Linked DNA regions of Rhinolophus ferrumequinum. The protein of the gene in region 4 interacts with the protein of the main gene of each other region in a biochemical or structural test. Links are inferred from orthologs where the notes say so. Each region holds a gene or a part of one and is shown on either strand. Other genes may lie near its edges. The genes, in order: RAC1, RIPK1, E2F1 and BIRC2.

Region 1 (7,568 bases), on a different chromosome or scaffold from region 4:
TGGTGGACACACACTCCTATAAAGATGACATCATGGAAGGCCATTTACCTTGCTCAAGGAAAGAAATTCCTGGACAGCAATATCTGTCCTAAAGGCTAAAGGGACCACTAGCCCCATCTGGACACCAGTTTCTATAGTGAGAGAAATGAGGGCTTCAAGTCATTCACTCCCAGCCTTCTAATAAACCAAAGCCAAAACAACACTATTAAAAATGGTTCTTTATCAATATTTGAATGTGAGATGCTGTCTTACCTAAGTGAAGTTGAGAGAAAATCTCGGGGCAGAGGTCACCCAAATAAAAGTGACAGACCCTGTGTTTAGGATCGACTGTCTTAGAATTAAAAAGTACCAAATTTATGTCATATTTTACACTCAATGCCAAACTGCCACATAGGAAATATCCATTAGAAGAATATAGGCTAATTGACCCTAATTATAACATGACATAGCCTTTAACCATAATTCCCAAGAATATTTTCAAAGGAAGCTTCCAATTTGTGGAACCTCGGTTATTTTGCCTTCACTGCTTAACCTGCCCTTAACGGCCTGAAAGTCCACACAACATTAACTGATTTCTCAGCCCCACAAAATTTAGGTCCACAGTTAACAGCTTTAACAAATTTTTTTTTTTTTTTAGATTTTATTGGGGAAGGGGAACAGGATTTTATTGGGGAACAGTGTGTACTTCCAGGATTTTTTCCAAGTCAAGTTGTTGTCCTTTCAGTCTTAGTTGTGGAGGGCGCAGCTCAGCTCCTGGTCCAGTTGCCGCTGCTAGTTGCAGGGGGCACAGCCCACCATCCCTTGCAGGAGTCGAACCGGCAACCTTGTGGTTGAGAGGATGCGCTCCAACCAACTGAGCCATTCGGGAGCTCACAGCAACAGCTCAGAACTGACAACCTTGTGGTTGAGAGCCCACTGGCCCATGTGGGAATCGAACCGGCAGCCTTTAGCATTAGGAGCATGGAGCTCCAACCGCCTGAGCCACCAGGCCAGCCCCAACAATTTTTGAATAAAAGAACATTCTAACTGTATCACCAGGAATTTATTTTATTTGGGTAAAAGCAGAAAAATATTTTTCGTATGTAAAACTAGGTATCTAAGTTTTGCACTGAAGTAATGTTTGCTACCTATTGTCCCTTATTTTAAATAATACAGCTGAAACTTTTTTTGTAAAGGTACATTTCACTAATATCGCTCAGCCCTAGTCAACATCAATGTCAAACACAGTGTTACAAAATTCAAAAAACTCAAGTCCAGAAACTATTTTCTGCCTAATACTCCCTTTCCAGAGCCTAGCAGCGCCTCAGAGTAACACAGACAGCAGTCCTAATAACACGCCGCTGGCGCGTATAAAGCGTTCAGCAGGGGCCCGCACGGTGAGGCACTTCACTTCCAGCTGAATCGTCACCACTTCCCTTTGCCACACCTCTCCTGGGGGATGAGTGATATGCTCAGGGTTTCCCCAGAAGTGGTGGGGTGTGGGTCTGAAGGAACCATCCAGATCCCATAGCAGGCATTCAACAAGTATTTGACTAGATAAGCCAATCGGAACAGTAGAGGTCCACTCCGTAGGTTATGAACTAAATATATCTGCTATGCTTATGTTTTAGTTTTAGAAATTTTCAAATAAGAATATTACTGTGGCTAGATACTGAATTATCAGTAGTGACTTTTTTTTTCTTCCAGAAACAATTTCAAATGTCTTACTTTGCAATGACCGACATAAGCTGAGAATTCATAAACTCACTGAGAGGTATAAAAGCTACACCAGTCCTAACGACACGACTGGGGAATATTAATCAAAAGGCACAGTGATGCCAGAACTCTTCGTCCGACTTCACCCGACTCCAAAAATGTACCAGTTGCACTCTGACTTGGACGAAACTGGTAGTAATTCTTGGAGCTTCCCTGTTTACGCTTAACTACTCGAGCAATGCTGAGACACAATTTTGCTCGGATTACAATGAGATTGTTTCTATGGGAGAAAAACAACTGCATAAGACAAGTTTTGTCTTCCTCTAGGGCCTGTAACCACCACAGACAGTAATGAAAAGAAACGCCTTGAGTCACAGGGCCGCTCGGCTCAGGGAGCCTGTTCTGCTACATCCCATACCTAACGCAAGAAGCGAAGGCCAATTTTTTTTTAAGGACCACACCACGCTCGGAGGAAAGAACCGTCTCAATCACACCCAGCTCCTCGCAGCTAGAACCTTAAAACTTTCTCCACGGAAAGAGCAAAAATAATCATTTAAAAAATCCGAAAAGTGGCGAAGTACCAAGTGGAAGATCCCCCCTGGCAAACCAGCGTAGGGTCCCCAAAGCAGCTCAGGCCAATTCTGGTCACTGACGACCGACCTGAGCGCCGGGACGCACGGAAGCTCCCGATGGGGCTCGAGAGGTTAAATCTAAGCCAAGAAAAGGTCCTTTTAAGAGAAAGGCAACTCTCTAAGCCCACGTAATCCACAGGCAAACGAAGGAGGCTGGCGGCGCGGCGCCAGGTAAGTTCGGCCCCGCGGTCAGCGGGCGCGGGGAGAAAGCGGAGGGTGGAGTTCACTTTTCCCTCCGGCCGCCGTCGGCGATTCCCTCCCCCACCAAAAAGGGAGAGAAAAAGCCAGAACCCGGCGCGCGCCGCGGGGTCCCAGGGAGGGCTGGCGGCTCGCGCCCCCCGCCCACGGCCCGGAGAGGCCCAGGCCCCGCGCGCGCCCGCCCGCCCGGCCCCCGCTGCGCCCCCAGAACCGTGCGGCCCCGGCCCCCGCCCCCGGGCCGCGCACTCACCCGTCTCCCACCACCACACACTTGATGGCCTGCATCTGGGCCGCTCGCTGGGCCGCGGAGGCGGCGGCCGGGCGCTGAGACGAGAAGCGGCGGGCGCGGGGCGCGGCAGGCGGGCGGGCGCGCGGCTGCGGGCGGCAGGGCGCGGGGTGCCGGGGCCGCTGTCCACGCCGCCTCGCCCTCCGCCAACGGGAAGCCGAAGCCCAGCAGCGGCCACCACCCAAAGCTGGGGAAAACTGCAGAGAAACAGGAAATGGCCGCTCCACTCACATCCGGCCGCCCCTCCCCCGCGCCCGCGCCGCGGCTCCCAAGCTCGGGGCGGGGCGCTCCTGCCGGCGCGCTCACCGGCTCCTCCCGGCTTCGGGGACGCTCGGGAGCGCTCGGCTCCGGCGAGGCGAGCGAGGCGCCATGTTTGCGCGCAGACGGCGCGGTGCGGTCGTGGCCTGCGGGCGTCGGCCTGGGGAGGGGCGCTGGGTCCGAGGAGCCCTGAGTCCCAGGGGCCACGTTCTCGGCGCCCCATCCTGCTCCTGCCCGAGGCCCGCAGAAGGGCGTTGGTCTGTCTGTCCATCCTGTGTGATGACCGTAACTTATGTGATGACAGGCACTTCTAGAAAATTCGGAACCCAAAACTATAAAGACCATAGGCCGTACCATTATTCAGACACAACCGAGGTATATTAAGCCCCAAATGTGCTGAATTTTCTTCCGTTGCGTATGCATTTTCTATTATTTTTAATGCGTTGAGCACTTACTATATCCTATGCTTTCGTTGAACAGAAATTTTAACTTCCACGGCTGAAAGTCATTTTAAAAGAAAGGGTTTATTGGGTCATTGCTAGCTAGAAAAAAAGATGACCAGGGCCCGGGGCATATATTCTAAACCACCAGCAGCCGCGCCAGGTGGAGAAGGCAACATGGTGTCAACCGGCTTTTTTAGGGAAACAGTTTGGGGAAGAAAGATGTAGGTTGTTTTGAAAGAATTTACACTGGCTACAGATAAAGCTGGTGGGAGAAGGTGCTGCAGAGCTAGCTCTAGGGTAGGCACTGAATCCATAAGGAAGAAGCATTTGCTTCTTTGGATTAGTGGTGGGCAACAGTCTAGAAAGTTCATACTTAAACAAGAAGTGGACGGTTTGATGGCACCTGGCTATTATGTCTTTTAGATAATTGTGGAAATAGCCACCTGGAACTTAAAAGTTCCAACATACACTAAGGAATGTGAGCAGTCTTGTTAGCTGGCCCCCAGCTACTAACAAGCTAACTGTTCTCTTTTGCTCACTTTCCAGCCGGTTATAATTTAATTTGTAGCATCGCAGAATTTTTCTCATCACTTAATACCAAGTTCTGGAGATAATGTTCAGTTAGCAGACCATTCAAGTGCCAATGTTTTGGTGTATTTCTGCTCAGTTGTTTCTTTATATGCATAATGAACATGTTTTAAACAGCATTGTGAAGTCATACTGAATCATTAGAACATTTTTAATGGCTGCTTACTAGTCATTCCATTATGTACATGTACCATAATTTAAGGATTCCTCTATTATCCGAGGGTTGAGTTGTCCCCATTTGACAAACAATGCTGGGATGAACATGTTTGTGCAACGATCTTTATAGCTTCATTTCTTTAAACCACGTTCCCAAAAACGGAGTTACTGGCTTAATAGAGGGTGAGTGTTTTTAAAGCTTTGGTACTGTTGTTACATTGCCCCCCCCCCGCCCTCCCGCCCCCCCCCCTGCAAGCTTCACACTCCCCTCAACCCTCTGTGAGAGTGGACCATCCAGGGGAGTTGCTTTCCACTGATATTTTCATCTTTTAGGCCTTCTCTTTGTATAATTCACTCTGTTGCTCTGTATTGTAACAGTTTTATGAAATCAGGCTTTTTCTACACAAATTTTTTTTAACAGTTCCTTTTTTTTTTGTTTTTTGTCTTGCAATTATTTCAAAAGAAACGTGTTCCCAGGGCAAAGGGCATCTCCTTTTTACTCTGTTCATAAAGTTCACAACTCCCTTAAAAAGGAGTTGAAATTTCAAGTGCAACAGTGTCCCCTTGGCTGATAAAAATTTCCTGTGAATCTATGACAAACCTAAACTAAGTGTAATTACCTTCATGTCTTTGGACCAGAGGCAAATAAAAGGGTAGGCCTCAGGTCAATAGTTTAATTCAATTGTACAAACATTTGCATGCTGCGGTTGCATTATGGCCTGACAGTAAATGAACCAGATAAGGACATAGTTGCTAGAATAGCAAGCCCACTGTGCTCAGTACTATATGTGGGGTACAAATACGGTGTTTATCAGGAAGCCAAAACTGTGTTCACTCTAATAAGGCTTTCATCAAAGAGATGAGACTTGAAAGATGGGTCTGTGGAGGATTTTTGGTGGGTCTTGATGGAGTAAGAAGAAAAGAGTTTTCCACAGAGAGAGCGAAATCCTGGAAGTTAAAAGCTGAGGACTGTCTTCAGATGGGACACAGAGGGAACTAAACACTTGGCTGTCCCAGGTCTAGAATCTAGAGTAATCAGAGGCTGGATTGCAGACAGCCTGTGAGTATGGCCTTTATTATGACAGGACATGAATTGTTCAGCCAATACATGACACAACCACATTCAGATGATTATTTCCATAGATTGATAAAGTGAAAGTCCACCATATTAGACGTTGGACTGTGACTATAAAATAAAGCGAATGTACAATCCACATGTGAAAATTAGCTTTAAGCTAAAACTTAGTTAACTTAAAACTTTCCCAAGTTTGGCTTTGAGTGTTTATTGTAATGTTATCCATGGTGACCAATGGTCCAAAAAAGTTAAAGTTAAAACTAAATAAGCAAATATTAGACCATGTGTGTTTCTGAATATGCTACATAGTTATTTCTCAAGTGCCTCTTTTATATGCAATCATATAGCCTACTTAGTTCCCTTATTCAAGGTCAATCATTTTTTTCCGTTCCAGTCACTGTCTAGGTGTTGGAAGTGTGAAATGAACAAGAGTTCCCTGCCATCAGGGAGTCTGCCTTCTAGCTGGGGAGATGCTTCATAGGTAAGTGAACATATAGTATTCATTTCCAAGTTAACATGATGCATTACATGCAAGTATCTTATTTCACTTGCACCCAAATCACCACTAGAACGTCAGGAAAGGGATATAAAACAAAACAAAACAAAACAAACATAATCCTAGAACAGAAAGTATAGAAAAAATAGATACTGGAAGCTGGAAAGAGGGGACAGACTGGTTGAAACTGATTTAGCCATCTGGACTAGCAGTGGGAAAGGCTGATCAACACCAGTCCTTCACCAGAGAATCACCAAAGGGCTTCTCTGGGTACCTGTGGCACCCGGTACCTGTGGAAGTGGGGGTGACGGGAGAGTGGGGTGAGGAAAATGGGACGAAAGCTAAGAAGCAGCCGCAGGCAGTCTACATGGCTTCTTATCATGTACAGGCAAGGTGGCCTCCTTCCTCCTCCCTTACAAAATACTAGAGGTTCCTCTCTAGAGAAGGTAAATCAGAGAGTATTTGGAGGGGGAGACACAGGGCCTGGAAAACAAAACAAAGGGATTTAGGAGGCTGGGCTGAATCTGGAACCTCTCGATCCCCTTCCTTCATGGCTCCTGAAGCCATTTAGAGAAGGAGGGTACAGACTGGAAGGCAGACCCCAACATGGGAAGGGGTCTCCAGGGAGCCCCCACTCCTTCAGAGTGTCCCATTAACTCTTAGTTTCCCACTTCTGATCAGCAACAGACAACCATGGATTAAAAGATATATGAGGGAAACTTGCAGACTGGAAGCTAGAACTCAAAATAAATAAAGTTGAGGGGAAAAAAAAACAGGGCAGGGAGAAGGAAACTTTATTATTTTTTTTTTTTAGATTTTTTTATTGGGGAAGGGGAACAGGACTTTATTGGGAACAGTGTGTACTTCCAGGCCTTTTTTCCAAGTCAAGTTGTCCTTTCAATCTTACTTGTAGAGGGTGCCGTTCAGCTTCAAGTTGTTGTCCTTTCAGTCTTAGTCGTGGAGGGTGCAGCTCAGCTCCAGGTCCAGTTGCCGTTTTCTAGTTGCAGGGGGCACGGCCCACCATCCCTTGCGGGACTCGAGGAATTGAACTGGCAACCCTGTGGTTGAGAGCCCACTGGCCCATGTGAGAATCGAACCGGCAGCCTTTGGAGTTAGGAGCACAGAGCTCCAACCACCTGAGCCACTGGGACGGCCCCCAAATTTTTTTTTTTAAGGCTATTAATATCTTCAGATAAGATAATTCATCCATGAATAAGAAGGGAGCGCTGGTTTTTAAAATTTTTTAAAAAGTTCAGATGATTTTTTAAAAAAAGAACAACTCGGAAAAGCATGCTAGCAGGAAAAACCACAGAGGGTTTGAAACATCAAATTGAAGAAATCTCAGAAGACAAAAAAGCCATGGAGAGATAGAAAATAGAAAACAATGAGAGCATTAAGGAAGCAGCCTGGGAGGCCCAATCATCCTAATAATATCCTATAATAGAAAAGGAAGAACAAAAAGAAAGAAAAAGCAAAGGAGGAAAACATCCATGGATATACTCAAGGAAATTTCCCAGTCCTGAAGGGAAAGTGCCAGCCCAGTGAAGGAAAATAGACCCACCCCTAAGTACACCACTGTGCAACTGCAGAGCAATGGGAAGAGAGAAGATCCTACAAGCTCCCAAAGAGAAAACACAAGTCATAAGGAAACAGGAAATAGAATGGTTTCAGGTTTCCCAACAGTTACACTGGTGGAACATTGCCTTTAAGATTCTGAAGAAAAATGGTTTTCAACCAAGAA
Region 2 (7,268 bases), on a different chromosome or scaffold from region 4:
ATATAGTGCAGATAGAGGAAAATGAAAATTAAAGTAATTGTTACTGCTGTTTTATCAGTAATAATAAGTTCTAAATTCTGTTTGAAGCAAGTTTAGTCTTCATTTTCTGTTTAGAAAAAGGCAGTTTTCTACATTTCTTTTTTTTAACATCTTTTTTATTACTTTAAGGTGCACAAAACAATCTAATAGTTAGACATTTATCATTTATGTCCCTCACACAGTGACAACCCCTCTTCCCCCATCTACTACCCCTCTGACGTCACACACAGCCATTACATCTCCACTGTCTCTATTCCTAATGCTGTACTCCACTTCTTGTAACCATATATATATATATATATATATATATATATATACATATATATATATAAAATTGTAGTCAACATTCAATATTGTTCAGCTTCAGCTTCAGGTGTACATTTCTAATTGACCATAATATCTTCGTTACTACTGTACCAACCTGGTGATTACAAGATGCAAATCAAGTACTAAGTCACTCTATATTCCAAAGTTCACTCTGAGCTTTGATTTCTTCAAGTGTAAATTAGGGAAGAATTAATAGTAGTGGTTTAAAGACCAAAAAACTTCTGCAAAGTTGGTTGATTTTAACAGCCTCAGGCTTTGTCCAAGATAAACAAGAGTTCTGAGCAAGGAAGAGACAAAACATCAGCAAGACACAAAGAAATGAACACACACCCACTCCTGTGGGCTTTTGTCAAGTGCTTAAGAGAGAAGGATGTAGCTAATCCTCTTCTAAACCCTGAAAAGATTCTGCAGCATTTCATAAAAGCAAACGCCACTAACCACGGAAGAGGCCTCCACGCGTTACGACATTTGTCCCTTTTGTCAATGCGGCTGTAGACCCTTCTTTTCCATTTGCCAGTTCACGTCTAAGATTACGCATTAATGCTTTTCACTGTTTGCAACCCGCTACGGCCTCAAATGCAACAGTAAAATGTACTTTCAAAAGGTTGGTAAGAAGTCCCAACTAGAGACATCTACTTACCCTATTATGGCAAGGGCATCCATGATTGTACCGGAAAGCTACAGCAATGGAAACCCATCACCCCTACCAAAACAACAAAGATAATAACAACGAAAGGTGTGTTCCTACGTCACACGGTTCTAGTGACCTGAGGTCAGGTCTCTCCACTCTAGTACGGATTTACACCGAAACCTCCCGCAAGCCTGAGAGCGACAGAGACCTGGACAGTTAACAATTCTGCACCTGATTTCCCGGAACTCTGGTGGAGGTTTCTAGGACTGGGTAACATTTCCTCTTTTCTTCTGTCCTCCTAATTTCCTTTAAAACAAAATAAAGATGGGCTCCTTTGGCTGAGAGATATCTGGGATTTTAAAACTGAGTACAAGACCCAGATTGCTGCGGGGCATCCGCTCACCTCGTCCTCCCGAACAGGTGCAGGGGAAATTGGATCCACCACCCGATTTCCGGGAATACGACAGGTATAATGCAGGGACTCTGGTCCCGCTCCCCACACAAGAACGCAGGATACGGTGAGGCCAAAACAGAACACCCACGGAGCCATAGATAGGGGAGTCATACCACTATATTCTCGCTGGCGGCTGACAGAGACACAAAAGCAAACATCCACCAGTACCCCAATGAGAGGGTCTTCCTGCAATCCTGTCTCCCTGGCGGCCAGGGGAGACACAGGAAGTAGGATCAACAGGATCCGCAATCCACAGTCCGCTTGCTAACCACACTGGCTAGCGGCAACCTGCCATCCACTTCTCTGCCAAGCAACCCCCTTGCCAGCATAGCCACGGCAGTAGTATTAACGACTAAGGGCTAACCAGTAACAACTAATGGACACCTAGCCAAGGCAGATGGCCATCTGATTACAGCTGATGGCCATCTACTAACCAAGACAACACCTTTCCACGTGAGGCCCAGAGCCTGGAAAGTGCTCTCCCGGGTCAATCCCCACAACAGCTTTACTCACAGACCAACTTCCGGGAATGCCAAGCGCCCCACCCACTACCCAACTGGCCCACTCTCCGCCCACAGCCCGCCCCGTCAGGAAGCCCCGCCCGCCTGCCCAGAAGCAGACAGAGTCCCAAATCTGGCGGGCGCTGCCACTGCTACCGCGCAGACGCACCCGAGTTATTTACTTTCGTTTCCGCGGCAAACTTCCCCAGGCCTGAGTGAGGAAAGAAGCAGCGGTAGGAATTTCAGGAATGACACCGACTTCGCCGCCACCTCGCTGGGGCGCGCCGCGGGAGGACGCCCGAGTCCTGCGGGGCGGGTCACCGGGTACAGAGCTCAGCGGGCTTGGGGAGACCGGGACGCAGAGTGGCCGCCCCGCCGCGCGCTCACCACGCCCGGCTCTGTCGGCCCCGCCGCGCCGCGCGCGTCCAGCCGAGTGGTTCGCACTCCCTCCCCTCGCTGGGACCGCGCGGTTGGCCCTTGGAGGTGAGGGCCAGCCAGGACCCCTGCGCTCGGGGAGGCCTGTCCGCTGTCCCCGCCGTCAGAGCGACGAATGAGTAAGCGCCGGCGGCGGAGGGGCGTGGACTGCTCGCTCCGCCTCCTGCCGGGGAGGAGGATGGGGAGGGCGCCCGCCCTGCGGCCGTGGGGGCGTCGGTCCCCAAGATCTGTCAGCCAAAGAATCCCTGCTCTACTTATTTGAAAGAGTTGGAAGGCCAAAGAAAAGGTAATGATGCCTAGTCCTAGAAACCTCCGCCTTGAGGGAGAGGCCGCTTAGCTGAGTAAACAGCACTGGGTAGGTCTCCCAGGGACTTCTGGGCTCTGCAGGTTAAGCAGCGCTTGAACCTCAGGCAAATTTACGATTCTCTTACCTCTCTTCACATGTAAAGGGGGGATAATAATATCTGCTCTTTGGGGCTGTGCAGGGAGAAATGTGCTATTATTTTCCAGCCCTTTAAAATGGCTGGGAAATGATTGGGAAATCTTCAAGAAAAATGGGAAAAGCTTGATACAGTTCTGTATTAAAAAGCAAATAATACACAGCGTGATTATATATTATATAATCAAGAGAATGAGAAGCCACAAACTGGAAGAAAATATTTGCAAAATATATATCTGATAAAGAAAAAGACATATCTGATAAAGGACTATTATTCAAAATACATTTGACCCTTAAAAAGCGGTTTTGTACTGCGCGGGTCCACATACAGGGGTATTTTAAAAATCTGTGTTTAAGTGGACCCACGCGGTTCAAACCTGCCTTGTTCAAGTTTCAACTGTATTTTCATGTTTGGAAGGCAGACTTAAGTTATACCCAGATTTTGGACTGCATAGGTTGTGGGCGCCCCACACCCCCAACTCTTGTTCAAAGGTCAACTGTATATTGAAAACAACTCAACAATTAAGAAAAGAAACAACCCAAGTAGAAAATGGGCAAAAGATCTAATAGACATGACAATACAGATGGCAAGTAAGCATATGAAAATATGCTCACCATTATAGGTCATTATTGAATTGCAAATTTGAAAAAATAATAGGTACCACGTTACACACCTGTTAGAATGACTAAAATCCAAAATATTGACAACATCAAATGTTGGTGAGGATGTGGAACAATAGGAATTCTCATTCATTGTTGGTGTGAATGCAAATTGGTACAGCCACTTTGGAAGAAAGTTTGACAGTTTTATTTTTTAAGCTAAAAACAGTCTACCATATGATCCAGCAACCACATGTCTTGATATTCACCAAATGAGTTGAAAGCTTACATCTATACAGAAACCTGCATGCAAATGTTTATAGCACTTTTATTTCTAATTGGCAAAACTTGAATGCAACCAATATTATCCTTCAGTGGATGAATGGGCAAAAAACTTGTGGTCCACCCATACAATGGAATATTATTCAGTGCTAAAAAGAAATGTGCTATCAAACCACAAAAAGACATGGAGGAATCTTAAATGCTTATTTCTAAGTGAAGGAAGGCAATCTGAAAAAAGGTACATAATATATGATTCTAACTGACATTCTAGAGAAGACAAAATTATGGAACCAGTGAAAAAAAATCTGTGGTTCTCAGGTTTTTGTGGTGGGATGCAGGAATAGGTCGAGCACTGGATTTTTTAGGGCAGTGAAATTATTCTGTGTGATACTATAATGGTGAATACAGTATACATTTGTTAAACCCATGAATGTACAAAAGAGTGAAACCAAATGTAAACTATAGACTTTGCTTGATAATGATGTGTCAGTTGGTTAATTGTAACAAAGGTACCACACTGGTGCAAAATGGTGGAAGAGGCTGTGTTTTTTGTTTTGTTTTGGGGAGAGGGTAGAATATGTGTGAACACTCTGCTCTTTCCACTCAGTTTTGCTGTGAAACTAAAACTGCTGTAAACAATAAAATTACACGTATACAATGAAAGAGGCCTATTCATTTAGCAGACATTTCTGACTACCATATGCCAAGCAGGTACTAGATACAAGACTTCCAGGACTTTTTTTCCAAGTCAAGTTGTCCTTTCAGTCTTAGTTGTGGAGGGCGCAGCTCAGCTCCAGGTCCAGTTGCCATTGTTAGTTGCAGGGGGTGCAGCCCACCATCCCTTGCGGGAGTAGAGGAATCGAACTGGCAACCTTGTGGTTGAGAGCCCACTGGCCCATGTGGGAATCGAACCAGCAGCCTTCAGCGTTAGGAGCACGGCGCTCCAACCGCCTGAGCCACCGGGCCGGTCCCAAGAAAATATTTTTAACTAAATGATAATAAATATGTGGATGACTTTTTTTAAGATAAAGCCAACTTCATTCTTAGAGTGATATTTCTGGCTTGTAATGCATATATTATAAGATAGGTTGAAAATCAATTATTTGGATGCTCATCTCAAGTTGCAAAAACAGGAAATTAAACTCAACAAAAATATCGTAAGTTTCTAATAAATCTAAGAAAATAAATCATTGAAATAGAAATCATACAACAGAGGAATTAACCAAGAACAAAAGTTGGCCATTTGTAAAGATTAAAAGTGATAACCCCCCAGCAAGATTGACCCTGTTGACAAAGAGAGAGACCAATATTATCAAGAATGAAACAAAAATTATACAAAATTTAAAAGGATTAAAAAATAAGGGATAATTATTAACAATTTTATGTCATTAATGTTATAATGACAACAGTGTGACATAACGAACTTTTATGTCACTGTAGAGGGACTAGAGAAATTTCTTGAAAAATACAACTTGTCAAAAATGATTGAAGAAGAAATAGAACACTGAAATAGTCCTGTATTGAATGCATCAGTAAAAATCAAAGAAAACTCCACACCCAAATGACTTCCTTGGTAATAAATACTACATAAACTATTCTTAAAGATGAAATAATGCAAATCCTACATAAACTATTCTAGACAAGAGAAAAAGAGAAAACTTCCTAAAAGCTTTTAATATGACCACCTTAACTTTGGTAGCCAAATTTGACAAGGACAGCACCAGAAAAGATAATTATAGTTTAATATATCCCATTAACATGGAGGCAAACAATCCTAAATTAGATATTATCAAGTTGAATCTAGTGACTCTCTAACAGGATAATACATCATGACCAACTAGGGTTTATTCCATACATGCAATGTTAGTTTAACATTTGAAAATCAAAGTAATTCACCACATTACAGAAGAAAAAACATCATATAACCTACTCGAGAAAAAGCATGGATAAAAATTCAAGACTTGTTCATGATAGAAACTCTTAGACAACTAAGAATAGAATTTTCTTAATTAAATAAAGAATATTTACACTAACCTATAGATAACATTATACTTAACCATGAAATACTAAGCACTTACCTTTGCAATTAGGAGCAAGACAAGAAAGTCCACTATCATTACTTCTCTTCAAAATTGTACCAGGAGCTCTGGCCATTGCAACAAGAAAAGAAAATCAAAACATAAAAATATTGAAACGGAAAAAATAAAATTGTCATTATTTTCAGAGGACATAATTATGTGTGTAGACTATTCAAAGGAATTTAAAACAAACCTAAAATTAATAAGTGACTTTAGTAAGGTCATTGGATTCAAGATAGATATTAAAAATCATTTGTATTTCTGTTTCTAGCGAGAAGCAATACAAGATGAAGTTAGAAGAGCATCAGCATTTACAATAGCATTAACATTGCAACTAATACAGTAAAAAATATGTAGGACCTCTAAAAAAAGAACAAAATACTGCCAAGAGACGTGAAAAAAGACCTAAATAAATAAACAGATTTTCCCTCTTTCTGGACTGGAAGACTCAATGTTAAGATGTTAATGCTCCTCAAATCAATTTTTTTTTCTTTTATAGATTTTTTTTTTTTGATGTCATGTCTAAAAACTCTTTATCTCAGCCCAGGTCATAAAGTTTATTCCTATATTTTCTTCTAGAAATTTTATAGCTTTATTTTTTACATTTAGAAGTATGACTTATTTTGAGGCAATTTTTGTATAAAGCATGATGTTTAATTTAGATCAAGTTTTTTTTTTTATTAATACAGATAATCCAATTGTTCTAACAGTTTCTTGTAAAGATTATCCTTTGAATTGCCTTTTCACCTCTGCTAAAACTTGATTGGCACATCCAGTTTCAATTCCATATGTAAACAAAATGGAAGTTATTGCTCCTATAATTACAACAAGAAAAAAGGTAAACAAACTGAAAATCAACCAATCTCTGTTTAGACTCAACAGAGAATTGAAGTCAAAGTGCAAACGTCTACCTTGAAATCTGTAGACAGATCAATATGGGCAATCACAACTAATATCACCATATCTGGAGCAGAAACTGCTGGGACAATGAACTGGTAAAACAATTAAATGGTAATTTTGGTAAATTTCTGGGGAATGAGTTGATTAGCTTGAGAGTGAGAAACTATTAAGGGCTCAGACTTGGGGGCAGGGATGGATACACTTTCATGGATTTTACCATCAGAAATCCCACCAAATTCTCAAGGTAAAGAACCAGTGAAAATCTTCTCATGTTTTTGGAAGTGGGAGGGGGGAAGAAACCATTTTGAAATACATCCCAAGAGTTCAACATATCAAAGACTTGCTCTCCCAGGGAAAAAACTTTACCAGAGTGTTATCTATCTGGGAGAAGGAAAATCAGTCCACTTAAAATGGAAAGGCTGAGATTTAATCATAAGATTATAAAATGCTTTCCCTCCTTCACAAATTACCACTACATCAAAGGGGTTCCAGAATAATAACAGTGGATTAAATGGAAAGACCTACAAGATATCAACTCTGTATGAAAGAGCTCTTAGAAAAACAAAAAAACAGCAGAGGAGAG
Region 3 (7,663 bases), on a different chromosome or scaffold from region 4:
GGTTGGGGGAAGGAATATTAAGTCCTATTTGCTTACATTGGACCTTTGACTCTCTGGCCCATATCCCGCTAAACATACTGACTGACTGATGGCCAAGTACTTGGCCAAGGCCACACAGCCAGGCAGCTGTTGGCTGGCACTACGCCCCATGTTTCCTGTTTCAGCATAAATGCCCACTTTTCCTACTCTTCCATATCCCCATCTTCTCTTTAGTTACTTGCAAAGCAGAGGAGCTGTGCTGGTGCCCATTGGTTCCTTTGCAGTAATATTACTAATAGTAGTTAATGTTTATTGAGCGTTTCTTTACTCTATGCAAGGCATAGGCATTAGAGATTGCAAACTCAGATACTTGGAATGGCAAAGCAAGTAAGGTCACCGGGTGAGGCAAGCCAGGCAGGACTATGGTGGCCTGGAGGGTCAAGGCTCTGGCGAAATGGGGCACAGCAACTGCTCAGCACCATGATGGTCTGGCTAGTACCGTTTCCCCCAAAATTAGATAATCAATTCTAATGTGTCTTTTGGAGCAAAAATTAACATAAGACCCGATCTTATTTTACTAGAAGACCGGGTATAATATAATATACACGGTCTTATAGTAAAATAAGACTCTCTGGCCCACATCCCGCTAAACATACTGACCGACTGACGGCCAAGCACTTGTATTATATTATAATATAAAACCGAGTCTTACATTAATTTTTGCTCCAAAAGACGCATTAGAGCAGATTGTTCAGCTAGGTCTTATTTTTGGGGAAATATGATATTGCCAGATGTTACGGTTTTAAAAGAAAGCCAGATATTTGAATTTTTGTATAGCATTTCTAAATTAAAAATTTTCTTAACTAATTCATAATTCAGAAAAAAATACTCCGTGGGCAAATTAAATCATACATGTTGGCCAGTTTGCGAACTCTGTTTGTCCTCTTTTCTCATTCAACCCTGAGACCCATCCTGTAAAGGAGCCTTTGCCCCTTGTTCTACGGATGGGGCAAGCAAAGCTCTTCAAGAGGGTAAATCACTTACTCAAAGTCATCTAGCCAAGCTACACAGTTGGGGTCTGCCTGACTCCCAAGGCTTACTCCTATGATAGACGGCCTATCAGATGGGTAAGTGGTCTGTGTTCAGATACAGCCAGAACTGGCATGGTGACAATATCTCCAGGGACAGTAAACCGTCAGTCAAGCAGAGAATTTAGTGTAGCAACGAAGGATCATTTGAGACAAATGTGATGTTGCAGACATAAAACTTCCTGAACTCAACAATGGATGTCTCTGTGCCCCTTAATAAAATTAAGTCACCGCAGAATTTCTCCCAATTATGCATTCATAATGATGGGATGTTCATGTTCGGAGATTGTTTTTCCCCTGAAGCTAAGAATGTATGTGGAATAAAGAGCTTTGAATTATTGTGTCATTTGTCAGACTTAACGAACATATTGCGCAGGTCCATAGAAATAATTCTGACTCTTCCACTGGACTATGAGCTCCAGGTATCAGAGATAAGTCTGTTTTGCTTCCAGCTGTCTCCCTAGCACCTAGTATAATGCCTCACACATAGGAGGTATTCAACAAATATCTGTGGAATGAATGAGGCTCAGAGGAAGTGAATTGACTTGTCCAAGGTCACACAGACCAAGGTTCCTATTTATATCCCCCTGATTTACAAGCACATACTATCACGTTTACACCATCCTGCCTCTTGGAAAGAATTAAGGGAAAGATATCTCCAGGCAAAGGATCATGGGCTCAGGAGCTTCCACCGCTTTGGACTCCTCTAAAGTAAGGAGTTGGTGTAGGTAGTAATGGGGGTAAACATCTACTAATTAAGCCAATATACATTATAATACCTTTTGGAAAGCACACATTATAATCTTGACAGCCCTGAGCCTCCTGAGCTTGGCTCTTGGGGTATTTACAGAAGGTGGTGGGGTATAAAGAGCAGGCCCTGGGTTTTGCAGCGGAACAGGCTAAGTTCCCATCTCACTTCTGCTGTGTGACCTTGAACTTCAAGTGCCCCTCTCTGAGCCTCCTTCCTGCACAACGTTGATAAACAAGCTTCACTTATGGGATTCTCAGGTTAAAAGGAGCTCATCAATCAAAGTGGCTGCCCAGTAAGTGTGGATTTTTTGAAAACCTACCAGCCTGAGGAGAACTTTTGACACAGAGAACAACGTTATCGAGATTGGCCAGGCTTGGGGCCAAGGGGCCCCATCAGTCAGGCCTTTGCTGCTTTCAAGTGGGTATTAATAAATACAGAAGGCCCTTATCTCTTCCTTGATTGCACACTCGGAATTCTGGTCTTCACTCCTTTCCGCTGAGCAGGACAGGAAGGATTGTGGGAAGGACGGCACCTGCTTCTACCTGGGAGGTTGTGTACTTGAATATTTTGGGGAGGACAGGACTTTGGAAAACCTCTGGCTTTGGCCTCTCCAAGCCCAAACAATAGCCTTTTCATCTGCTAGGTAAGCTCATGCCCTTTGGGCCTCAGTTTCCCCATCATTAAATTGATAAAAATAACAATGTCTTCCTTCTCCAGCAACCAGTATAGTGCTTGGCACGTGACAGGTGCTCAATAAATGTTCGTTGAATGGCTGTTGGGTATGAGAGTGCTTTATGAAGTGAATATTATTGTTATGGAGACTCTTTGGGAAGATGTAAAGAAAAGAAAGTCCATCTGGAACAGGAATGTTGCTGATTTCTCTCACCCTCTGTCAGGGTCTGGCTTGATTTTTTCAAATGAGACCTACCATTCTAATGGTAGCTTTTCTGTCTGGGGAGGAGAAGGGGGACAGGCTGACCCCAGGGCTGGTAATCCAGTGTAGGCCAAATTCTATCACTGGCTGGCTTACAGGTCCCTCATGGGCCTCAACTTTCCCATCTGTACAGCAAGAGGCTACTAGTCTCTGGTCCCTCCTAGTGCTGACAGTCTAGGATTTGCAGTGAGTAATTTCACAAACTGTTTAGGAAACTCCTGTGTTCCTGAACCACCTTATAGTTCATAAAACATTTTCAGATCCCTTATGCTTTTCATCCCTATCTCAGATGAGGAACTGAAGCTGAGAAGTGTCGTCAAGAGGCTGTAATTTGAGGCATCACCACACATTTTGGTTATACAGGTATACCAATTTGTTCTCAAATGTGAATGTGCATAAAAACCCCCTGGAATGGGGATGGAGGATTGCTTGTGAAAATGTGCACGTAGAGATACTAAATGGGCAGGGGGTGGGGTTAGGCCCAAAGTGAACAAGCACCCAGGTGAGTCTGAAACCAGGACCCTAAGACGGCTCTTGGAGAACCAGGGCCTCCTGTTGCATTCTAAATAGCCTCTGGCATCATCAGCCTGTTTCCTTTCTCATAACTCCTCTCAGCACCTGCTTCAGCTGTGCTCAGGCCCTGTTGGAGTTCCCAGTCTAGTAGGGGAGGCAGATGGAGAAACTGAGTGTGGTCAGTGCTGGAACAGAGGCAGCATCCAGCAATAGAGGAAGTAATTCTGGAGGGCTTTCTGGAGGAAGTGATGTTTATACTGGGCCTACCGCTTTGATTCTTGTTTGTGTCTTAGCTACTTTTTATGTGTGTGGCACATCCCCACCAGGTGGCAGGCAAGTTCATTAAAATTATCAAGTCTTACACATCTCTGCCTTCAGTGCTGGCACAAGGCCTGGCACAGAGGACAATATTGGTCAAATCAGCTGACCGGAGCAATGATATTGGCTGATGGAGAGATCCCAGGGACTATGAAATACATTTTCATGCTCAGCATCCTCACCTCTTCCCTTTGTGAGATTAACATGGAGTTATTTTAATGGTGGAAATCCTTCATCATATTGCAAACATGTGTTACCTCTCTGTTCCCTCTCCCTTGTTCACTAGACTATGAGCCCTTCAGGGTATGAACTAAGAATGAGGCACAGAGCAGGCTCTCAAAACGTTTGTTGAATGAGTGAATGCACGCTTGGGTGAATGAATGTATAATAATGAATGAATAATGAATGAATGAATGAGTTCAAGCAGAAGCTGTGCATTTGGCTACTAAGATGAAAGAGGGCTCGGAGGAAAACCTCAAGCTGTAATGGGCCAGACTTCCCTCCCCATTTCCTGAGAGGCCCCTTCTGCTTGGGTTCTGGGTGATAGGGCGGGCATAGGATTTGAAAGTAAATGATAAAAGTGGGGCAAGCTGACGATGGGAGATGTGGCTAGGGCTTTGGAAATGGGCCTGAGACCCTAGAAAAGAGGGTCAGTTTCTAGAGATCTGGGCTGAGGGCGTTGGGGCTACAGGTGTGTGGAGGGTGTCTGGGGGTCATGTAAGGTACGCTGACGGTGAGATGCGTACAATGGACATTCGGTACTAAAGATCTCCTAGAGAGATCAGCGGGTGGGGTGTGTCGAGGTGGGAGCGGGGGCCACCACGCCTCGCAAAGGGGCAGTCCCGCCTGGGGGCGGGGAGTGTGAACGCTCTTGGCACCGCCCCGACAAAGCCTGCGCGCGCCCCGACCCGCAATTGGCCGCGCTTACTCGCACCGACGCCCCATCCCGCCCTTCACTGCCGGTCCGGCACGCTGTACCCAATAGCCACTGTCGCCGTCGCCTCCGTCACAGACCGGACAGCCAATAGTGACAGCGCTCGGCGGCTCGTGGCTCTTTCGCGGCAAAAAGGATTTGGCGCGCAAAAGTGGCCGGGACTTTGCAGGCAGCGGCGGCCGGGGGCGGAGCGGGATCCGGAGCGGGATCAAGCCCTAGCCGCGGCCTGCCGCCATGGGCCCGCGCCGCCGCCGCCGCCTGCCACCCGGGCCGCCCGGGCCGTGAGCGCCATGGCCGTGGCCGGGGCCCCCGCGGGCGGCCCATGCGCGCCGGCGCTGGAGGCCCTGCTCGGGGCCGGCGCGCTGCGGCTGCTCGACTCCTCGCAGATCGTCATCATCTCCACGGCGCAGGACGCCAGCGCCCCACCGGCCCCCGCTGGCCCTGCAGCGCCCGCTGCGGGTCCCTGCGACCCCGACCTGCTGCTCTTCGCCACGCCGCAGGCGCCCCGGCCCACACCCAGCGCGCCGCGCCCCGCGCTCGGCCGTCCGCCGGTACGGACACCAGGGACACTGGGCCGAATGTGCTGCTTGGACCCCCATGCAGACCCGGGCGGGGCGCGGTTTTGGGATGGGAGGCAGCTGGGGCGGGGGAGGGGTGGGCTGAGGCGCCGGGGCTGGGCGGTGCCCAGACTGGGTTGGGTCTCCAGGCCCCTCCCCGGGGTGCGGAGTGACCTCGGGCCAGTCCCTGTTTGCTCCTCTGCTGTGGGCTTTAGCTTCCTCACGGGAGCCGGTCAGACGCAGTAATCATAATGGCCCACGTGTATTCAACTGGCGCTGCTTGCATGCCAGGCCTCTGGCCGACTTCAAGGCAGCTAAAACTCACAACCTTGCTGTGAGCTTGGTGTCACTGCCTATCTGAACCGAGGCCCAGAGAGGGGAGGTGACTTCCTCTTGGTCACACCTCTGCAGGTGGTGGGACTGGGGTTTTAACTGAGGCCTGCTGGCTTTACATCAGATCTTGTGGCTAGGTAATGGGTATGGCAGCTTGGGGAGATGAAGTGAGGCATCCTGGGGCCAGACTGCTGAAGAGCCGTTGAGGAGGCCCTTTTTCATATCTGGATGCTCCACTGCCAGGTGCAGCCCTGGGCCTCTGGGCCTCTGGGGACAGGCCTCCTGGCTGGGAGGTCTTCTCTGCAATGGCAGGGTGGCTGGGCCAGCTGCTGGTCCCCTCCCTCTGCCTGTCCTTCCATCTGCCACCCTCCACCCTCCCAGGCCCTGGTTGTCATGGAACCTCATTAATCAGGCTGGCAGACCCCTGGGCTCCGGTGGAGGTACTGGTGGGCTTGGCCTCTGGAAGCTGGAGAAGAGGTCTCCAGTTCCAGGGGAGAGTAAACATCCTGGGGAGATGTCTTGAGAAAGTGCTCCTTGAGCAAAAGAGGCTCAAGATCAGTTCAGATTTGGGGGTGCCAGAAGAGGTGGCTGAATTACATGGGGAGAAAGGATGGAGTTTGGACCTGTGGGCTGCAGGGCAGGGTGGGGAGACCAGTTTGACAGGCCTTTTCTGTGGGTGAACGTGGGGCACGGACAGGCAGGCTGGGGTCTCAGCAGGAGGCTTGGAACAAGTAGGAGAGGTGAGGCAGAGCCTAGGGCAAGGAGGTGGAAGCGGCCCAACTGCTGGTGGGGGCCTAGGTGGCAGCTGGTCCCTGAAGCATCCCTTAACTCCCTTGGCCCGGTGCCCAGTGCTTCCTCCCTTCCAGAATCACCAAGATGCTAATAATAATAACAACAATAGTAGCACCATTGTTTTGAGATGTTTTCTTTGTCAGGCTCTGTGCCAAGCATTTACCCAATTAACTCATTTAACCCTCTCAACAGCCTTCCCCTTTTATAGATGGGGAAGCTGAGGCCTAGAGATGTTGGAACCTTCCCTAGTCATTAGCTAGTGAGTGGTGGGACCAATAGACATTTTCTGAGCACCTAACTGTTGGGATGCCTTACTTCCTGGAGATGCTAAGAGAGGTTGAAGGAAGTCCAGGGGCCCTTCCTCCTAATCAGTGACGGAGGGGGTGGGAATTGTACCAGGGTCTGGTCCCTTGGCTTGTCTCGTATACCCCAGTGGCCTGACCCTGCGGCTACCATCTTGGGGTCTGAACAAATATCCTCCATTTAGCTGACTTGACATGTACTCAGCAGGCCCAAGGCTGGGTCCTGCCCTCAGGGAGCTGAACTCCAGGTTCAGAGGGACTGCCAAGGACTGGGTCGAGGAAGGATGCCCTCCACTCCACCCCGAGGGGTGTCCGGGGCAGCCTCAAAGGACCTGAGCACTCCACTCATTTAACAGTTGACTTAGTGAGTACCCACGAGGTAGTAGGCACAAAGGCAAGTAAGGGGCCTCTGCCTTCACAGTACTTAAGCACTAGTGGGCATTTTCTACAGGTGAGCAGGCAGGTGTGGGAGCTGGTACCATCCTGGAGCTGAAGTCCAGAAAAATGGGCCCAGATTTTCCCCTCCAGCAACCCCAATTCTTGTACCTGTGGGTAACCACTGGCCACATGAGCTATGGCCTTCACCTGTCCACAGGTGTTTGGGGCAGTCCCTGAAAAAAGCTATAGGCTCAGCTTCTGTACCAGTGAGCATTCATTGAGTACCTCCTGCATACAGGCTCTGCAATTCAGCCATTTCTCCTGGCCCTTCCTGTCTACCTCTACTCTATTGTTACGGCTACTAAAACAACAACAAAAAAAGTGTAATACATAATAACTATAAAAAGTAAATAGACTAGAAAGGTGAAGGGGGCAGGCTCCCAGTCCCACCCATTATTTCTGTTTTCCTAAAACCTATTTTTATTTTTAGGTGGTTATGGCTGGTTTTCTAAAATTTCAAAAATTGTACTTTTTCATTTATTTCCACGTTCAAACAGTACCATCCGCACGGTTCTCCCTTGCACACATAGATTACCTCTGAAATACATTCTATAATAATAGAAACTGAATCATAGGAAAAAAGGTTTTTGTGCTTTTTTTTAACCCAAAAGGTTTATATATGCATTGCCCTAAAACAACGTGGTTTTTGTCAATGTCTTTGAGAGGATTCTGTGTCGATTTGCTTCAGTCCTTGATAGTTGCATGGTCTTCCAGGGTCTGGATG
Region 4 (7,798 bases):
CTTCAGGGTTATAAATCTGGAAGAAAAAAAAACTATTTTAGAAAACTGTATTTTCATTGTAAATAGAATTTATAGACTTCGATTTATTCAGTAAAGTCTAAAAATGACTTACACTTTCAATAATACATCTTAATTCCAGCAATTTGTCACCAAAACATTCTAATTGGAAAAGCTTTTAATGAAAATAAATGCAATATACCCCTTAGCACTGTGTGTGTGTGTGTGTGTGTGTGTGTGTGTATATACACACATATATATGTATATATATGTTATTTTTTAAACATACAACTTTGAAGACAGATAGACATTTCCTCATAGGAAAATATCTTGTCCTTGGTCTCTTCCCCTTTTCTGGTGACAACTTTTAATATTAAGGATAAATCTCTGGCGGTTTGCTAGAGGCAAAAGGGGACAGTGGTGAAGGACACAACATCCTATCAGCAACAGTCCAGCAGTAATTAGACAGTAACATTATTTTTTAATGTCAAGTCTCTCCAGTACTAGGCAAGGAGACCAGTAAGAGTAAAATGCATCAGGAACTCATTAGCATAAATAAATTCTTCAACTCTACAATTCCCTCCCAATTCCAAAGCAACCACAGAAAGCACCTCAAAAACAAAACGTTAGTCCAATGGCCGTGGGAATGTGACCACTTGCACGAATGCTTTCGGTACACCCAGACTTGACAACATATCTTTAAATGATATATTTTTTTTTTGTCTACAAGCACTGTTCTGTGGATTTTTACTCTCTGTATGCAAACAGTAGCTGGATGCGGGGGACATACTGGAAGGGCAAAGGAGAGCAACAATTAGGATTTACCCATTAATTTCCTGGAGTTATTTCTCACACCACACAATAGACTACTTGAAACTATCTTAAATACCGTGTTTCCCCGAAAATAAAACCTAGCCGGCCCATCGGCTCTAATGCGGCTTTTGGAGCAAAAATTAATATAAGCCCTCGTCTTATTTTACTACAAGACCAGGTATTTATGATAATATAATATATAATAAATATAATACCGGGCCTAATATAATACCGGGTCTTATACTAATTTTTGCTCCAAAAGACGCATTAGAGCTGATGGTCCGGCTAGGTCTTATTTTCTGGGAAACACGGTATGAGACACAACACAGTCTTTGATTCAACAAATTAAAGGAATACCCAAGGCTAAACTGAAAACCCTGCAAACACTAAGAGAAAGCATCTTGGTCAAAGTCCAAGGGCCGGAAAACTGGGCGGCGGCCCAGCAGGCACGCAAACAGGTCAATTTTTAAAAATTATTTTCGATTACGTATCTTGGAGTGGAACTTGCGTATTGAAGAAAAGCCTACGCGAGAGCAGCAGCTCACCGCGACCCTCGAATCCCCCGGCCGCACTGCCCGAGGCCCTGTCTGTCCTCCGCCCGCCACAGCTTCTGGGAAAGGAAGCGGCCCCGCGGGCCCCCACCGGCTCGCGCGCCCGGGGCCCGGAAGAAGCACTCACCTCAGAGCAGGCGCAGCACACACGGAAACGGCGCGGTCGCCTGGAGGGCTCCACACACCCGAGAGCAACGGCGCGGACAAGAGATGCGCCCCGGCTGGCTCCGGGTCAACGCTTCCAAAGTCCGCAGCCCACGCCAGGCCCATGCCGACGCACGGTGACGTCAGCGCGCTTATCCGGGGCCTGCGTCACCGCCGCGCGAGGGCGCCGGGGAGTCTACGGTTTTCGGGAGGGGCGCAGACGGTTTCCGTCAGCTCGGTGTTTCGAGTTTTAATCTCGCGGTTTGAGGACTTTTGGCGTTTCCTTCTCTTTCTGTCCCTAACATTCTCCCGAGGGGAACGTGGCAAACCGTGAGCCGAAGAGTTTGACTCTTGGGAAGCCCTGCGGAAACACCCGTGGGCCGGTGGTTTTGCGCATCTTCTCCGCGTTCCGCTCTGAGTTATTTGATCCAACTCCTGGCCAAATTCCTCTCGTGTGACTCCTCCACTCGTCGTAGATGACTGCATTTGAGGATGGAGTCAACCTCGTGGCATTTTTGCTTCAATTAAGTAAACAGTTGTAACCGTTTAAAACAGTTGTAACCGTTTTTCCTCAGAACACAGCTGCCTAACATAAACATTCACAGCTGGCGGTGGAACTGGAAAAAAGCCAAGTGGTGGAAAGTAGAACAGCATCAGAAGATTAATTTTGAAGTTCTGATTTTATAATCTTTAGGGATTGTATTATGAATCTATAACCAACCAATGTAGCTTTCGTTTTTAAACTTGTTTTTCAACTTTGTTTTTCTGTTCTGGAGACATATGCACTAACGAAAAAGTGTCCTTATTTCAAAAGCTCATCGCTAGCAACGTGGACGGTATTTCAGACCAGTCTTCACTCCCAATGAAGTCACATTTTTCTGAATGTGACTCAAATAGAATGTATACGTTCATATATGTGTTTATATATAAAATCGTACGTGAACCACAAAGGAGCCGACTTATCGATGAAGTCTTAAATGGTTCAGTGAATAATTGATAGAGGATTGCAAATAAGAAATCTTGATGTCACTAGTCATGGAGGTTTGTCTTCTCCCACACCTAGTATCACAAAAGCAGTGGCGTGCAGTAAATGTTTGTTGTATTGCAGGAGCGAATTTCTTAATTTATGTTCTGTGAAGACACTCTTTGTCAATAAAATCAGATGCTTTTCCTCGGGGGGAACTCCAGTGGGCAAACATTTCAAAAACTTCCAAATAACAAGCCACTTAATTAGGCATCTGGGGAATTCCAAGACCCTGAACCATTTCCCATTTCCTGTCCCTGTCATTTCTGCCTGCCAGTCAATCACGAAACAGGAGGTCTTCTGTTGCAATGTTAATAGTAAAAAGAAAGTATTCATAACAGTTTATGATACAGAGAAAAGAAATGTCATGGCTCCCAATGACTAAAAACTTTCAAATATGCACAAGAAGAGTTTGGTAGTAGTTTAGTATTTAGTTCAAATCAGTATTTCTCGGAAAGTTACAGAATCTTCCTTATGTATGGGAAAATATATATAGCAAGAATTGTTCATTCCGAATTCGAGATTATTTCAGTTCTTGTCCAGACCAAAAAGTAAGATAATGAATATACTTCAGTATAGCGGAAAATTCGAATTTCAAAAACTCAAAAGCCCTAGATATTTTTCCCAAATATGTATGTAATAACGTTCAGGTATAATAAATCCTGCTATATGATTTTAATCTTGTATAACCTTGCAGTGTGATGTTAAATTTACTCAGTTAATCTTTTTCATATTTTCAGTGTAGAGTTGCCGGTGATTTTTAAAACTAAGGTATATGTCTGCTGAGGTTGCCATCCTAAGACTTTCCACATTTATGTACAAAAAATATTTACAGGAGCCAAGACAATTTTAAAGAAGAAAAGACTGAAGGGACTTGTCCACCAGATAACAAGTTGTATAATAAAGCAACTAAATAAAGTAATTAAGACAGTATTGTATTAGCACAAGAATGTAAAAATAAACAACGGAACAAGATAAGGAGCCACCCCCCCACACAATTTTATATATATATTATATATATAAAATATTTTATATATATATAATTTTATATATATAATATTCATATGTATATAACTTTGATATATGACATTGGTATTACATATTAGTGAGAAAAAGATGAACTAGTTAATAATCCTGAATGAATGGTTATTCTAATGGAAAAGTTAGATCTTGACCTAAACTATTAAAAACATTCCTGGTGGATAAATAAAAGTGAACAGCTTTCATTATGAATCTGGTGACTTAAATGTATTTTGTGAGTTGTAATCCATTGCAGTTGTTGTCATTATTGGTGCTCGTGTTTTTTATTAATCTTAGGCCAATATGAGCTCATTCACATTGGCTCCTGAGTCCTTTTGACATGGCCCTAGTAGTCTTTGATTGTTTTTCAGACTGGTTTTGTACATTTCTTACCTCATGGCTTGGTTCCTTTAGTGGGAAATGGTATTTAAAGACCACAATTTGAATGTTTGTGGTGCTAGTTGTTATTGAGTTATATTGTTTTTATAACCTAATCCATGGACAGAGCTGGATAATATGGTTTTGCTTTGTGTAAATGTACCGTAAAATATATTCAACTAGTACCATAATGTATTCAACTATTTCCCTAATTGATAGACATCTGAGTGGTTTCCAATCTTTTGCTGTTACAAATAGTACTGTAATGAATAGTCATGGACACACATTTTATTTTAGGATATATTCCCAGAAGTTGGATTGTTAGATCAAATGGTAAATTCATAGTAATTTTGCTAGATATGACCAAATATCCCTCCCCCCTCATGGGAGTTAGCATTTTGCAATCCAGCCAGCAATATATGTAAATTCCATTAACTGCACAATTTGATAACAAATTCCAGGGGAGTATGTTATCAAACTTTAAGATTTTTGCCAGTCTATTAGATAAATAGTATTTCAGTATAATTTTAATTTATTTGCTCTATTATGAACAACATTGAAAATATTTTCATATGAATCAATTGCATATATTTTATTTTTAAAAATTAAATATGAAATCGTTAGAATTGATATGTGGTATTGTTAAAAAATTATTCTGATGCTTGTTAAAATGTCAGCAAGTAAGGAGCAACAAGTTGAGACTTTATTCATGCATATTGTCCTAAGAGCATTGCAATACTGAAGAGAGAACAGGCTCAACTCTGAATACAGCAGACAGCTGAGGATTTATAGCCAACTAGCAGAATGAAAGAGTCAGCAGATGTAAAATTAGTTAGTGGAGACATCAAGGGCAGGGAGATTCTTGCTGAGGATAGGCCAAGGGCTTAATAATACATCAAAGGTGAAGGTTAAGGAATTTGGTCAGATATCAATGGTAGGGGAATTTTCACTAACCTGACTTAGCAGGATTCTTGCTAAGACTGAGCTAGGCAGATCAAAGATGGGGTGAGGAGGTGGCAAATGGAGAAGGCACTGACTTAAATCTGTATAACAAACTTTACCTCTGTTAACTGTGCTTTTCCTGGTAGCCTCCCCAGAACTGGCCTCCCATACCCTTATTTCTTTTGTCTTTAGCTGAAGATGGTATTTAAGCCTGTGGTTTAGTCCACGTCAGGGAGTTTACTCATTTTTCCCTGGGTATCTCCCATGTATATGTGAGGTATACATGTTAAACTTTTTTTTCTTTTGCTGATCTTTTATTACAGGGGTCTCAGCCAAGAACTCAGTAGGGTAGAGGGAAAATTATTTTTCTTCCCCACATCAGTATATACCGTGTTTCCCTGAAAATAAGACCTAGCCGGACAGTCAGCTCTAATGTGTCTTTTGGAGCAAAAATTAATATAAGATCTGGTCTTATTTTACTATAATATAAGACCCGGTCTCATAACATAATATAACAACATAACATAATACCTGGTCTTATTTTACTATAAAATAAGACCGGGTCTTATATAAGACCCGGTCTTATATTAATTTTTGCTCCAAAAGATGCATTAGAGCTGATTGTCCGGCTAGGTCTTATTTTCGGGAAACATGGTACTGTAAGGAAGGAAAAAATCTCTTCTTTTGCCCATCTTAGGTTCTCCAGCTGGGGTTCTGTAAATTAGACTGGCCAAAGATAGATTAGCAAGAGAAAAACAAGTTTATTAGCATGTGCATCACACAAGTATAGATGAGAATCCTCAGTGAAGGAGTAACTGAAACAGGTGGTTAGAACTTGGGTTTAAATACCAACAAAGGAGGTTTGGGGCCTTAGGAAAATGACCAGGAAAAGTACTGTATAAATGTAAATTTCCTTTAGAAAAGGAAAACTTTTACCTTGTATTTAGATCTTTTCATGCTGGTTCTCAATGGCCTTTAGCTCAAAATAATCCATATGCCAAACAGGCACATTTTATGGTGGCATGTTCTGGTACCCCTCATTACAAAGATGAAATGTATATTTTCCTAAATTTTTGAAGTATTTCTTTTAAAAAAATAAACAGAACCCAACACATTAAAAATTTGGGGGCCGGCCCGGTGGCTCAGGTGGTTGGAGCTCCATGCTCCTAACTCCGAAGGCTGCCAGCTCGGTTCCCACATGGGCCAGTGGGCCCTCAACCACAAGGTTGCCAGTTCAACTCCTCGAGTCCCGCAAGGGATGGTGGGCTCCGCCCCCTGCAACTAAGATTGAACACGGCACCTTGAGCTGAGCTGCCTCCTGGATGGCTCAGTTGGTTGGAGGGCGGGCTCTCAACCACAAGGTTGCCGGTTCGATTCCTTGAATCCCGCAAGGGATGGTGGGCTACGCAACCCTGCAACTAGCAATGGCAACTGGGCCTGAGGCTGAGCTGCGCCCTCCACAACTAAGACTGAAAGGACAACTTGGTCCTGGAAGTACAAACTGTTCTCCAATAAAGTCCTGTTCCCCTTCCCTAATAAAATCTTAAAAAAAAAAAAAAAAAAGCTTTGAAATTATGGCCACATCACAACTTCCTTCCCCAGCTTGTAGTTACTTATTTACAAGCATTACCTTTCCATCTGTTGAAAAAAAAAATCACTTTATATATGTATACAGTGGTACCTCGGTTTTCAAACATAATCTGTTCCAAAAAACTGTTTGTGACATGTTCGACTTCCAAGGTGTGCTCAAAAACGGATGACATGTTCGACTTCCAAGGTGTGCTCAAAAACGGAAGCATTTATTTCTGGGTTTACGGCGTTCGTAAACCAAAATATTCGTCAATGGAGACGTTCAAAAACCGAGGTACTACTGAAGCTGTCTTAGGACTTTTCTTTTTTTCCATAAAATCTTTTCATTAAGGCTTTGGAACTACAAATAATCTGAAAGCTCACTTGGTTTAATTTATCTTACATACTGAGGACATGACCAAGATAAGTACGGAAAAGACTTCTACAGCTATGTTGTAAAGAATCTGAATGTTCATGACAGCTTTTAAAGTCTGTATCAGAAATAATTAAAAGTTTAATTAGTGAACATTAATCATTTAATGTAAATTAGAATCTTGGCAGTTCTAAATTCAAAAATCAATGTGTTAAAAGTTAGGATGATACAGGTTACGATGATAAATGGGTTAAAGATGGCCCGTGTATATTGACCTCATACTTTTTACTTCTCACAGCAGACTGGGACCATTAGCTCAAAAACTTCCTTGTGCCAAACTCAAATTTTTACACATCTAATAACTTAATGTATCCCAAATAATCACATTTTAATCCATTTTGAGTCTGCCTGCTCTGCATACCCAGTGTCCACTAGCTAAAGACAAACGCTCAGGCTATAAAAGACCTGCAGCTGCTCTTATCCTGACTCAGGGACTGTTGTGCAACAGCAGTCACCTAGACTATATGTGATGTAAGCCTTCTTTCTGGTTCTCCTCTTGCCTAAGAATTCTCTTGCCCTCTTTCCCTTCGTGGTGTTCCCACACCTCTGTCTCTGGAAGTCCTCCTGCTCTGAGGGAATAACCCTTGCATGAGACGGTCTAGCACCATCAAAATAAAGCTTGGTAGTGTGCTACTACCACCTTGTGCTCTTTTCTTTAATTGGCCCCCAACTCCTCAAACTCATAATAAAAGAAAAGACATTATTATTGGAGACAAATAGTCACAAGAATTCATGCTGGCAAACACAAGGCATAGAGTACCTTGTTCTTTCCATATATATTTCCTGTCAAGGGAGGGAAAGATAAAAGACTTTTAGGATCCAAAAAGTTGATGCAGATCCAGGAAAGGATTTTCCTGTGGTTTTCCAAAAAGCAATCATGGGAGAGACTGACCAGTTGAATCTGTAGTAGAATTATTCCAAAGCCTT

The links.
Region 1: the proteins of BIRC2 (region 4) and RAC1 form a complex in vitro, tested with the Homo sapiens proteins (2 studies listed by BioGRID and IntAct, with this or other methods). The link is inferred for Rhinolophus ferrumequinum from reciprocal best matches to the Homo sapiens genes BIRC2 and RAC1.
Region 2: of the proteins of BIRC2 (region 4) and RIPK1, one has a biochemical effect on the other in vitro, tested with the Homo sapiens proteins (6 studies listed by BioGRID, with this or other methods). The link is inferred for Rhinolophus ferrumequinum from reciprocal best matches to the Homo sapiens genes BIRC2 and RIPK1.
Region 3: the proteins of BIRC2 (region 4) and E2F1 form a complex in vitro, tested with the Homo sapiens proteins (2 studies listed by BioGRID, with this or other methods). The link is inferred for Rhinolophus ferrumequinum from reciprocal best matches to the Homo sapiens genes BIRC2 and E2F1.

The regions. Positions count from the first base shown.
Region 1 is NC_046307.1:41,100,431-41,107,998, reverse strand, and holds the start of RAC1 (ras-related C3 botulinum toxin substrate 1), read right to left. Parts: upstream 3,008-7,568; 5' UTR 2,811-3,007; coding exon 2,776-2,810; intron 1-2,775. UniProt on the Homo sapiens protein: Plasma membrane-associated small GTPase which cycles between active GTP-bound and inactive GDP-bound states.
Region 2 is NC_046292.1:90,729,979-90,737,246, forward strand, and holds the start of RIPK1 (receptor-interacting serine/threonine-protein kinase 1), read right to left. Parts: upstream 3,005-7,268; 5' UTR 2,134-3,004; exon of another isoform or gene 2,121-2,133; intron 1,929-2,120; exon of another isoform or gene 1,007-1,928; intron 1-1,006. UniProt on the Homo sapiens protein: Serine-threonine kinase which is a key regulator of TNF-mediated apoptosis, necroptosis and inflammatory pathways.
Region 3 is NC_046306.1:21,283,711-21,291,373, forward strand, and holds the start of E2F1 (transcription factor E2F1), read left to right. Parts: upstream 1-4,661; 5' UTR 4,662-4,807; coding exon 4,808-5,068; intron 5,069-7,663. UniProt on the Homo sapiens protein: Transcription activator that binds DNA cooperatively with DP proteins through the E2 recognition site, 5'-TTTC[CG]CGC-3' found in the promoter region of a number of genes whose products are involved in cell cycle regulation or in DNA replication.
Region 4 is NC_046294.1:71,879,810-71,887,607, reverse strand, and holds the start of BIRC2 (baculoviral IAP repeat-containing protein 2), read right to left. Parts: upstream 3,015-7,798; 5' UTR 1,489-3,014; intron 17-1,488; 5' UTR 1-16. UniProt on the Homo sapiens protein: Multi-functional protein which regulates not only caspases and apoptosis, but also modulates inflammatory signaling and immunity, mitogenic kinase signaling, and cell proliferation, as well as cell invasion and metastasis.